Cricetulus griseus: one gene and its partner. The protein of the gene in region 2 interacts with the protein of the main gene of each other region in a biochemical or structural test. Links are inferred from orthologs where the notes say so. Each region holds a gene or a part of one and is shown on either strand. Other genes may lie near its edges.

Region 1 (4,364 bases), on a different chromosome or scaffold from region 2:
CTCAGCTGGGGCAGAGACAAGGTGGGCTGGGCAACCCAGACAGTGTTCCATTCCATTCTAGAAGCCAGGGCCTGAGGAAGGGACGACAGAGGAAACCTGGGGGACACAGCAGATTGGAGGCCTGGGCTGAAACCCCTCCCCCACTGCACAGGCAGAAGCAGCAATGTGACAACACTGGAGACCACAGGGGCCTGCAGGCAGGAGGTGGAGGAGGGGCAGACAGAAGAGGGGAGGAATGGTGAGGGAGGGTCCTGTCAGCACTTTGGTTTGGGGTGGGTAGGGGTTGGGGGTGGGGCATGTCGGTCCTTCTGTCTGTCCGCCGCCCTGCCCGCCTCCCAGCTGGAGCTCAGTCCTTCCACTCCTTTTTGATGGTGAGGTTCCATTCCCAGGACAGGTGGTCCGTCTTGTCATCGTCTGTGAATCGGGACTTGATGTTGTAGCTGCCCCGAGCGAGCATGCCTTTGGGGGCCTCTTCCATGGGTGTCAGGAACTCATACTCCTCAGCCCGGGGCCCATAGCTCCCGACCATGTAGTCGGTCTTGTCGACTGTGGTGTGGACAGGAAAGGCATGGTTAGTGGCCACGCAAGCCCCTCCCGGGACCCACAGGCTTCCCACTCTATCGGTACGACCACTTACTTTTGACCCCTTTCCTGTATGTGTGCTGGATGTACTTCATGCCTGACACGATCTCTCTGTTCACCTGTGGGGACACAGAGCAAGGGTCAGCCGGCCCCCCAGTGCTGATGCTCTGCCCCTCTGCCAGGCCTCTCCAATCCTCCACCTTACCCGGAAAGAGATTTTTATCCGGTACTCCACACCTTCCTTCAACACAAACGACTGTTTCTTGAAGCTCTCCAGATCACCTGTATGGGGAGGAGGCACAGCCAATTGCCTGGAGGCTTTCCATCCTGCCCCCACGTTCCCTTTCCACAGCCCCTTCCGTGACACAAAGCAGGGCCTTGGAGAGCACCTAGCTGCACTTTCCCCCCTGCCCCACCAGAGGGCACCAGTGCAGAAAATTATTTTTAGGGGCAGCGGCTGGATGCCAGCTGGCCCCACCCAGGGACTCCAAAACCCACTCACCTGTCAGGTCCAGTTCCAGAGGGCCCGGGGACGTGCTGCACACCAAGGTCAGGCGGGTCACAATGACATTGGGGACATTGGGGTCTGGAGAGCAAGAGTCATGAATCAAGAGCTCCATTCCTTAGATTTTTTTTAACTCCCTGGAAGGAGGGGGGCAGACTGGAAAGGGGGTGGTGACAGGGTCAGGTGACATCCACCTACCTGCAGAGACAGCCACTCGGCCCAGCAGGGCCTCCTTATACTTTCGAAGGCTCTCATCATCCTTGTCCAGTTCCTGGATCTCCTGGATGCTCTTCTGGGCTGGGGGCTTGTAGTTGACAGAGTGCTCATCCTCCTCATTCTCGGCCGCGATCTGCGCAAGCTGCTCAGCGGTGGGCTCCTGTTCTGCCATGCTCACCTCTAACCTGGGATACCTGTGGGTGGGCAGCGAGCAGAGCGGTGACAGCCCGGAGGCATTGCAACCTAGAGGGACCCTGACACCTGCCGGGAAATGATGGAGGTAGCCACGCCAGGGCAACTTTTAGAGGAGATAGGAGGCGCTGCCACTGCCCAACTAACTCAAGAGGCTCGTTTGAGAGGGCTACACCCCAGGCACACCATGAAGCCACAAAATGGGGACCACAGCCCGTTCCTCAGAGAAGCAGAACAGCTTTCCTCCCCATGAAGAATGAGTAGCCTCCTGACCAAACGGAACTGGGAGAAGCAACGTTAAACCACGTGGGTCCTGCTGCTGCCCCTAGATGCCCGGGATCTAACCCAAAGACACTCTCACTGGGTCACGGGGAGAAGTTCTCTGAAACGGGGATGCTCTGTGTCCTAGCCACGTGCAGGACAAGGGTCTGTTCCTTCCTGCCGGTGGAATACCGTCCTAAGCTCAACTGCGTGGCGACCAAATGAGACGGTAAATATGCAAGCCCGACCTCCCTTGTGAGGGGTCCGCGAACGCAGAGTGGGAGCTGGTGCACCGGTTGCAAAATAAATCTCAGGAGCCCATTGCTGGACCCTGGTCCTAAAGCGTCTGTGGCGGTGCGGAACCACGCCGGGACGGAAGCGCCTCGGTGCCTTTCAGTTCCGCAGATCCCCACCCGTCCCCCAGACACCCACTCGAGCCCTGCAGGCGATGCGCGGCGGTCGGGGCAGCCGCCGCCCCTCTGGGAGGCGTGCGCCAGAGACTCGGGGGGAGCGCCGGCCCGACACCCGGAGGGTCCCGGAGGCCCCGCCCGACGCGGCCAAGCGTGGCCGCGGGCGACAGCATCCAGGGCGCGGCCCGCGCTTCCGCAGGGCCCGCAATCCGGGAGGGCGGGGGGGGCCGCGCGGCGGGAGCGGCAGGCCGGGCGGGCCCCAGGCCGGACCCCGCCCGCGCGGCCGGGAAAGGGCGCCCCCGCCCCCGACCCGCACCGGGACCCGGACCCGGGACCGGGACGCGGCGCCCAGGCCCGGGCAGCGGCGGCGCTTCGGGCAGGACCTAGAAGGCGCCCGGCCCGCCCGCTGCCGTGACCGCGCCCGCCGCCCGCGCTCGCCCGGGGCCCGCCGCACGCCCGCCCGCCCGCCGGCCCGCGAGCGCCGGGGTCGCCGCACAAAGCCAGCCCCCTCCCCTCGCGCGCCGCCCCGCGCCAGGCAGCGCGCCACTCACCGGAGGCTCGACCGTCGCTCTCGCGCTCCCTCCCGCACCAAGTGACGAACGTCGTCCGCCGCCCGCCGCCCGGACGGTCACTTCCGGGGTCACAAGACTTCCGCTCTCGCGGGCGTGCGGGCGGGGGGCGCCGTGCGCATGCGCCGGCAGGGGGCGCCGGTCGGCGCCGCCGCCATTTTGCGGCCGGCCTCGTGGGCGCGTCGCGCGTGGGCCGGCGGCGTCGCGCGGGGCATCGAGGGGCGTCCGCGGCGCGTGTGGGCCGAGGCCCGGGCCCTTGGGCTCCGGGGCGGCCGCTCTGCCGCCCGGGTTCCGCGGCCGCCGCGCCCGGGCCTCGTCCCCCATTGTCCCTGCAACGCAGAGATGGCAGCGCCGCACGCACGCACGCACGCACGCACGCTCGCGCCGCCGGGCGCGTGGCTTCGCGGGCCGTGGCCCTCTGGGGTCCCCACGAGTTCCCCTCGCCGCGCCCCGCGGGGCCGGCTCACCCCGAGACGGGCAGGAGCCTCCGCAGGGACGAGAGCCAGCACCGCTGCCGCCCTGGGCGTCCGCCACCGCGCTGAAAAGATGACTGGAGGGAAACAGTCGCCCGCCGTTCATCCGCCACGTTTACGGCCTCGTTACGTCACGCGAGCACTTGTTCCCCTGGCCACGCATCCCCAACTCTGAAGCAAGCCAGGTGTCCTTTCAAGCGTAACCGTTTCATGCACTGTTTTCTTCGTCCGAGGAAGATGGCTCCGCAGTGTCCTCTCCCTGCTGCTCAGTGGCAAACTACTGCAAAACCAAACGCTGTCACCACTTGACTGTCCCCACTCTTCCTCTGTGATGGAGTCCGCTTGCCACACACGCACGCACACCACACACAGACACACACAGACACGCACACCACACACACGCACGCACACCACACACAGACAGACACACACACACAGAGACACACACACAGACACACACGCACACACCACACACACAGAGACACACGCACACACGCACAGACATGCACGCACACCACACACACACACAGACACACACACACACAGAGACACACACACAGACACACACACACAGACAGAGACACACACACACAGAGACACACACACAGACACACACGCACGCACACACACACCACACACACACCCTCACAGAGACACACACGCACACACGCACAGACATGCACGCACACCACACACAGACACACACACACACACACACACAGACATGCACGCACACCACACACACACACACAGACACACACACAGAGACACACGCACAGACATGCACGCACACCACACACACAGACACACACACACACAGAGACACACACGCACAGACATGCACGCACACCACACACAGACACACACACACAGACACACACAGACACACACACAGAGACACACACAGAGAGACACACGCACGCAAACACGCCCAGTGAGTCAAGCTAGCTTTTCAGGAGGCTCGAAGTCCTGCACCCAGTGGGCCTAGTTTATTGAACTCTGACCCACCCACAACTCCTTAGTTTGAAGCACTTGGCTCCAAGTGCAAATCTTCCAAAGCGGCTTCTCTTTTATTTAATTTTTTAAATATTTTTCTTTTGGTTGTTCAAGACAGGGTTTCTGTATGTAGCTTTGGAGTCTGCCCAGGAACTTGCTC
Region 2 (3,807 bases):
AGTCTCTTAAGATTGTCCTTTAAAAAATTAACCAGCCTGGAGAAGTGCCTCAATGCTTATGAGCCCTAGTTGCTCTAACAGAGGACCCAGGTTTGAGTCCCAACACCCACATGGCTGTTTACAACTGTCTGTAACTCCAGTTCCCAGGGTATTGGACAGTCTCTTCTGACCTCTGTGGAATCAGCACACATGTGATGTAAAGACACATGCAGAAAAACACCCACATGTAAAATGAAATTAATAAATGAAAAAAATTGTTTAAGTTAGCCAAAAATGCTTTCTGCTTAAATGAAGTTAAATCTTTTGTATTAAAAAAAAAATAGTATAATGTGGTGGTATCCTGGTAGGTATTCTGATTCTGCCACTTTATTCCAGTCCTTAGAATGCTCATCACAGATTAGTGTTCATTTGCAACACAGTTCTCACCTCAAAGAGAATAAGTTTATTTTGAGCCCTTTAGGAACACATACACAGGTTGATTTGACTACATGGTTCTGTGGATTCCTGCAGTCACAGAACAAGAAAGAAGCATATAACATTCACCACTCTGGTGGAGACAGTAGGCAAATGGATTACAGCAATAGGGAAGAACTCCACTGTATGTTTCAGATGTTATCTGATGACATACTTAGCTTAGGGTTAGTAGAAGCTGGTGATCTGCTAAACTAACAGAGTCTGAAGGTGGTTTCTTGTTGTTTTGTCCTTTAAACTAGATTGTTGAAAGGATGTTAGGTCAGATAAGGACGAGCACAATGAATGGCAGTGACAAAGACCAAAGATAACAACAGGATAATTTGTGCATCTGTAACATTTCAACTCTCCATGCTTAGTCTTGTAAAATTTCCGCGCTTAGTCTTGTGCAATTTCAACATAGTGTGGCTTTTTCCTGGGAACTTTCCACTAGTCATTCTATCAGAAGACATGGATTTCAAGATGAATAAAATAATATCACTCTGTCCTTATGTGTTAAGACACATAAAAAGACACACTGTAACCTAGTTGATACAGGGAACAAATGGATAATTTCAGTTCTATGATAGAAGAGATTTTATTCACATAAAGAATGTTAGTTGATCTGGGACTTAAATAAAAAATTATTCAATTGGTGATGCAGAAGTATTGTAGGCAGAAGGAAAAGCATGAGCAACAATGTAGAATGGTGAAACTTAGGCATGGTCCAAGAATTGTTTCAGTGAAGGTAGAGTATTGAAGGCACTAGACTCTGTCACCAGAGTGAAGTGCTTTGCCCTAGGTACCGGTGGGACACTTGGAGGGAATCAAATAGGAATATAGGCTTGCCCCATCTGTGCTTCTATCTTTCACACTGTTCTTTCATTTATTGAGGCTGTGATGTGAGCCAAGCAAATGAAGATAGAAAACAGAGTCAAGAAAGAAGATAGAAGTGGCATAACAGGATTGAGAATAAAAAGAACCTGAATTGATGTTTTCAGAAATGTTCTTTGAACATGTCAAAAAGAAAAGAGTGTGTTAAAGGAAAACCCTTTTCTGTGGCACTTGTACTTGTGTAGTTTTGTCCTTGTGGTCTGTAGTGTTGAATGTCATCTGATCATTGTGTGAATGTTGAACTGAATTTGTTTTGTAGGTTGTAAAAACAGTTGGTTTACGTGAGGTCTGGTTTTTTGGGCTGCAGTATGTAGACAGCAAAGGATATTCTACTTGGCTCAAACTTAATAAAAAGGTAAGATGTATATAGTAACATTAAATTAATTTGATGTTTGTTAATCAGTGCTGAAAAAGCATTAGCAGGGTCTGACTAAGTCCAGGCCTCCTTTTGCAGTTTTCTTTTGATCATTACTCAGCCTTTTAATTCATTGAAGAATCTCGAACATTTCTACACACACACTGTGTGAACCAATGCTTGTCAGAAATAGAACTTTGAAGCAAGTGTTAACATGCATTAAAAACTAGCCCGCCAGCTGTGAATGTCTGCAGGATGAGCTCCAGTACACGAAGATGTTTTCATTCTGGCTCTTGACTGGGCTCCCAGAGCTGCTGGCAGCCTTAGGACCACACACAGGAACTTCAGCACATGCATTTGTTTACAGACTGGTATATAGCATTACTATCCACTTTCTTCAAAAAAGAATTTGATGTAAATATATTCATTTACAGTGAATTAAGTTTTGTTGATTATACTTGAAATTACTATTCTAGGTGACACAGCAAGATGTTAAAAAAGAAAATCCTTTACAGTTCAAGTTTAGAGCTAAATTCTTTCCTGAAGATGTTTCTGAGGAATTGATTCAAGAAATAACACAGAGACTTTTCTTCTTGCAAGTTAAAGAAGCCATCTTAAATGATGAGATATATTGCCCACCAGAAACTGCAGTTCTTTTGGCTTCATATGCTGTCCAAGCCAAGTATGGAGATTATAATAAAGAGATTCACAAACCAGGATACCTGGCTAATGACAGACTCCTACCACAGCGGTAAGTAAAGTATGCCTTTATTTAATATTCTCTAAAGTTATATTCCAGAAGCATATGCTAAATTTCTTTTTAAAAGTCTTTTAAGTTGCCAGGTGGATCTTAGACTGTTTTTTTTTTTTTTTTTTTTTTAAATCATGACTTAGTCATAGCACAGATTTATACCTGTTCCACTGTAGTCACATCTGTAGGATGTGCAGCAAAAGGAGATTATGGTTTGGGCTTGAGGAAAGGATATGAATTATTGTTTGTAAACATTGGAACACATGCAGGTAGATGCATAGTAAACACTGTTGCCTAGTAGAGGGCAAGAGCTGTTTCTTCCATAGAATGAAGTTTTGGTTTAGTGTGCAGTGCAGTCCCACCTTTACAACACTCAAAGCAACCCTGCATTAGGAACAAATAACTGGAGAATGAGGTTTGGGAACTGAATCTAATCTGCTCTTTGCTAGTTACACAACCTTAGATTTGTAATCTTTAAGGATCCACCATAAACAGAGGTGGTTAATTTTTCTGTGGCTGAAAGAGAATTCTAATCAGTCTATGGTGTTTGTAGTATATTATGAATATATTGCTTTTGCTGCTTTGGTGTTGAATAGAAAAATATGAATAATCAGTTCACAGTTAAGTAAGAACATTGGCAGAATACAGATGAAACACAAAGGTTACTAGAGGACAGGTGTATGGTGTGGACATAGGGTTTAGTGTGGAGTACTTGAGCACGTTGGTCCTTGAACACTGACTTTAAATTCAAAATTGGCCTGCCTCAGTGTCTTAAGTACTGGGATATAGGTATTTACCACCATGCTTGGCTTAATATATGTTTTCTTTCTTAGTAAAAAGTATTATCTGCCTAAAATGACAATGTTATATTTAGCCATATTTATATTTATATTTTCCTGTCTGTTCTTAATTTTCTGTTAATGATGAGATTTTTTTCTTCAATCCAGAGTATGATTTGTTTGAAACATTTGAGTTCTTTTAAACTATATAATGCCCATTTTAAAGCATGAATTAAAGTAATTTAAGCTATCTAAAACTTTGTTTTAGCTTCCCTTAGTAACATCTTCTATGACTTCATTATTCAGCCAGGATACTGACCTTTGATATAGCCCCATGACATTGTTTTGTTCTGTTTTACATTCTCAGTTGTGTTTTTAGTTCTATGTGGTTTTAACATGTGCACTGATTTATGTGATATGTATCTTAGTCATGTTATGAAAGAACTCCATAGACTTTGAAAAGACCTGGATTTTTTTAAATCAAAGTCATTAACTACATTTTTTTCTTTTTAGTGTTTTGGAACAACACAAACTGACAAAAGAACAGTGGGAGGAGAGAATACAAAACTGGCATGAAG

What was found.
Region 1: the proteins of Rdx (region 2) and Arhgdia form a complex in vitro, tested with the Homo sapiens proteins (2 studies listed by BioGRID and IntAct). The link is inferred for Cricetulus griseus from reciprocal best matches to the Homo sapiens genes RDX and ARHGDIA.

Annotation. Positions count from the first base shown.
Region 1 is NC_048600.1:133,068,128-133,072,491, forward strand, and holds Arhgdia (rho GDP-dissociation inhibitor 1), read right to left. Parts: upstream 2,853-4,364; 5' UTR 2,718-2,852; intron 2,154-2,717; exon of another isoform or gene 2,005-2,153; intron 1,498-2,004; 5' UTR 1,476-1,497; coding exon 1,286-1,475; intron 1,169-1,285; coding exon 1,085-1,168; intron 865-1,084; coding exon 788-864; intron 702-787; coding exon 638-701; intron 547-637; coding exon 347-546; 3' UTR 262-346; downstream 1-261. UniProt on the Homo sapiens protein: Controls Rho proteins homeostasis. Regulates the GDP/GTP exchange reaction of the Rho proteins by inhibiting the dissociation of GDP from them, and the subsequent binding of GTP to them.
Region 2 is NC_048597.1:163,762,186-163,765,992, forward strand, and holds part of Rdx (radixin), read left to right. Parts: intron 1-1,603; coding exon 1,604-1,699; intron 1,700-2,175; coding exon 2,176-2,450; intron 2,451-3,742; coding exon 3,743-3,807. UniProt on the Homo sapiens protein: Probably plays a crucial role in the binding of the barbed end of actin filaments to the plasma membrane.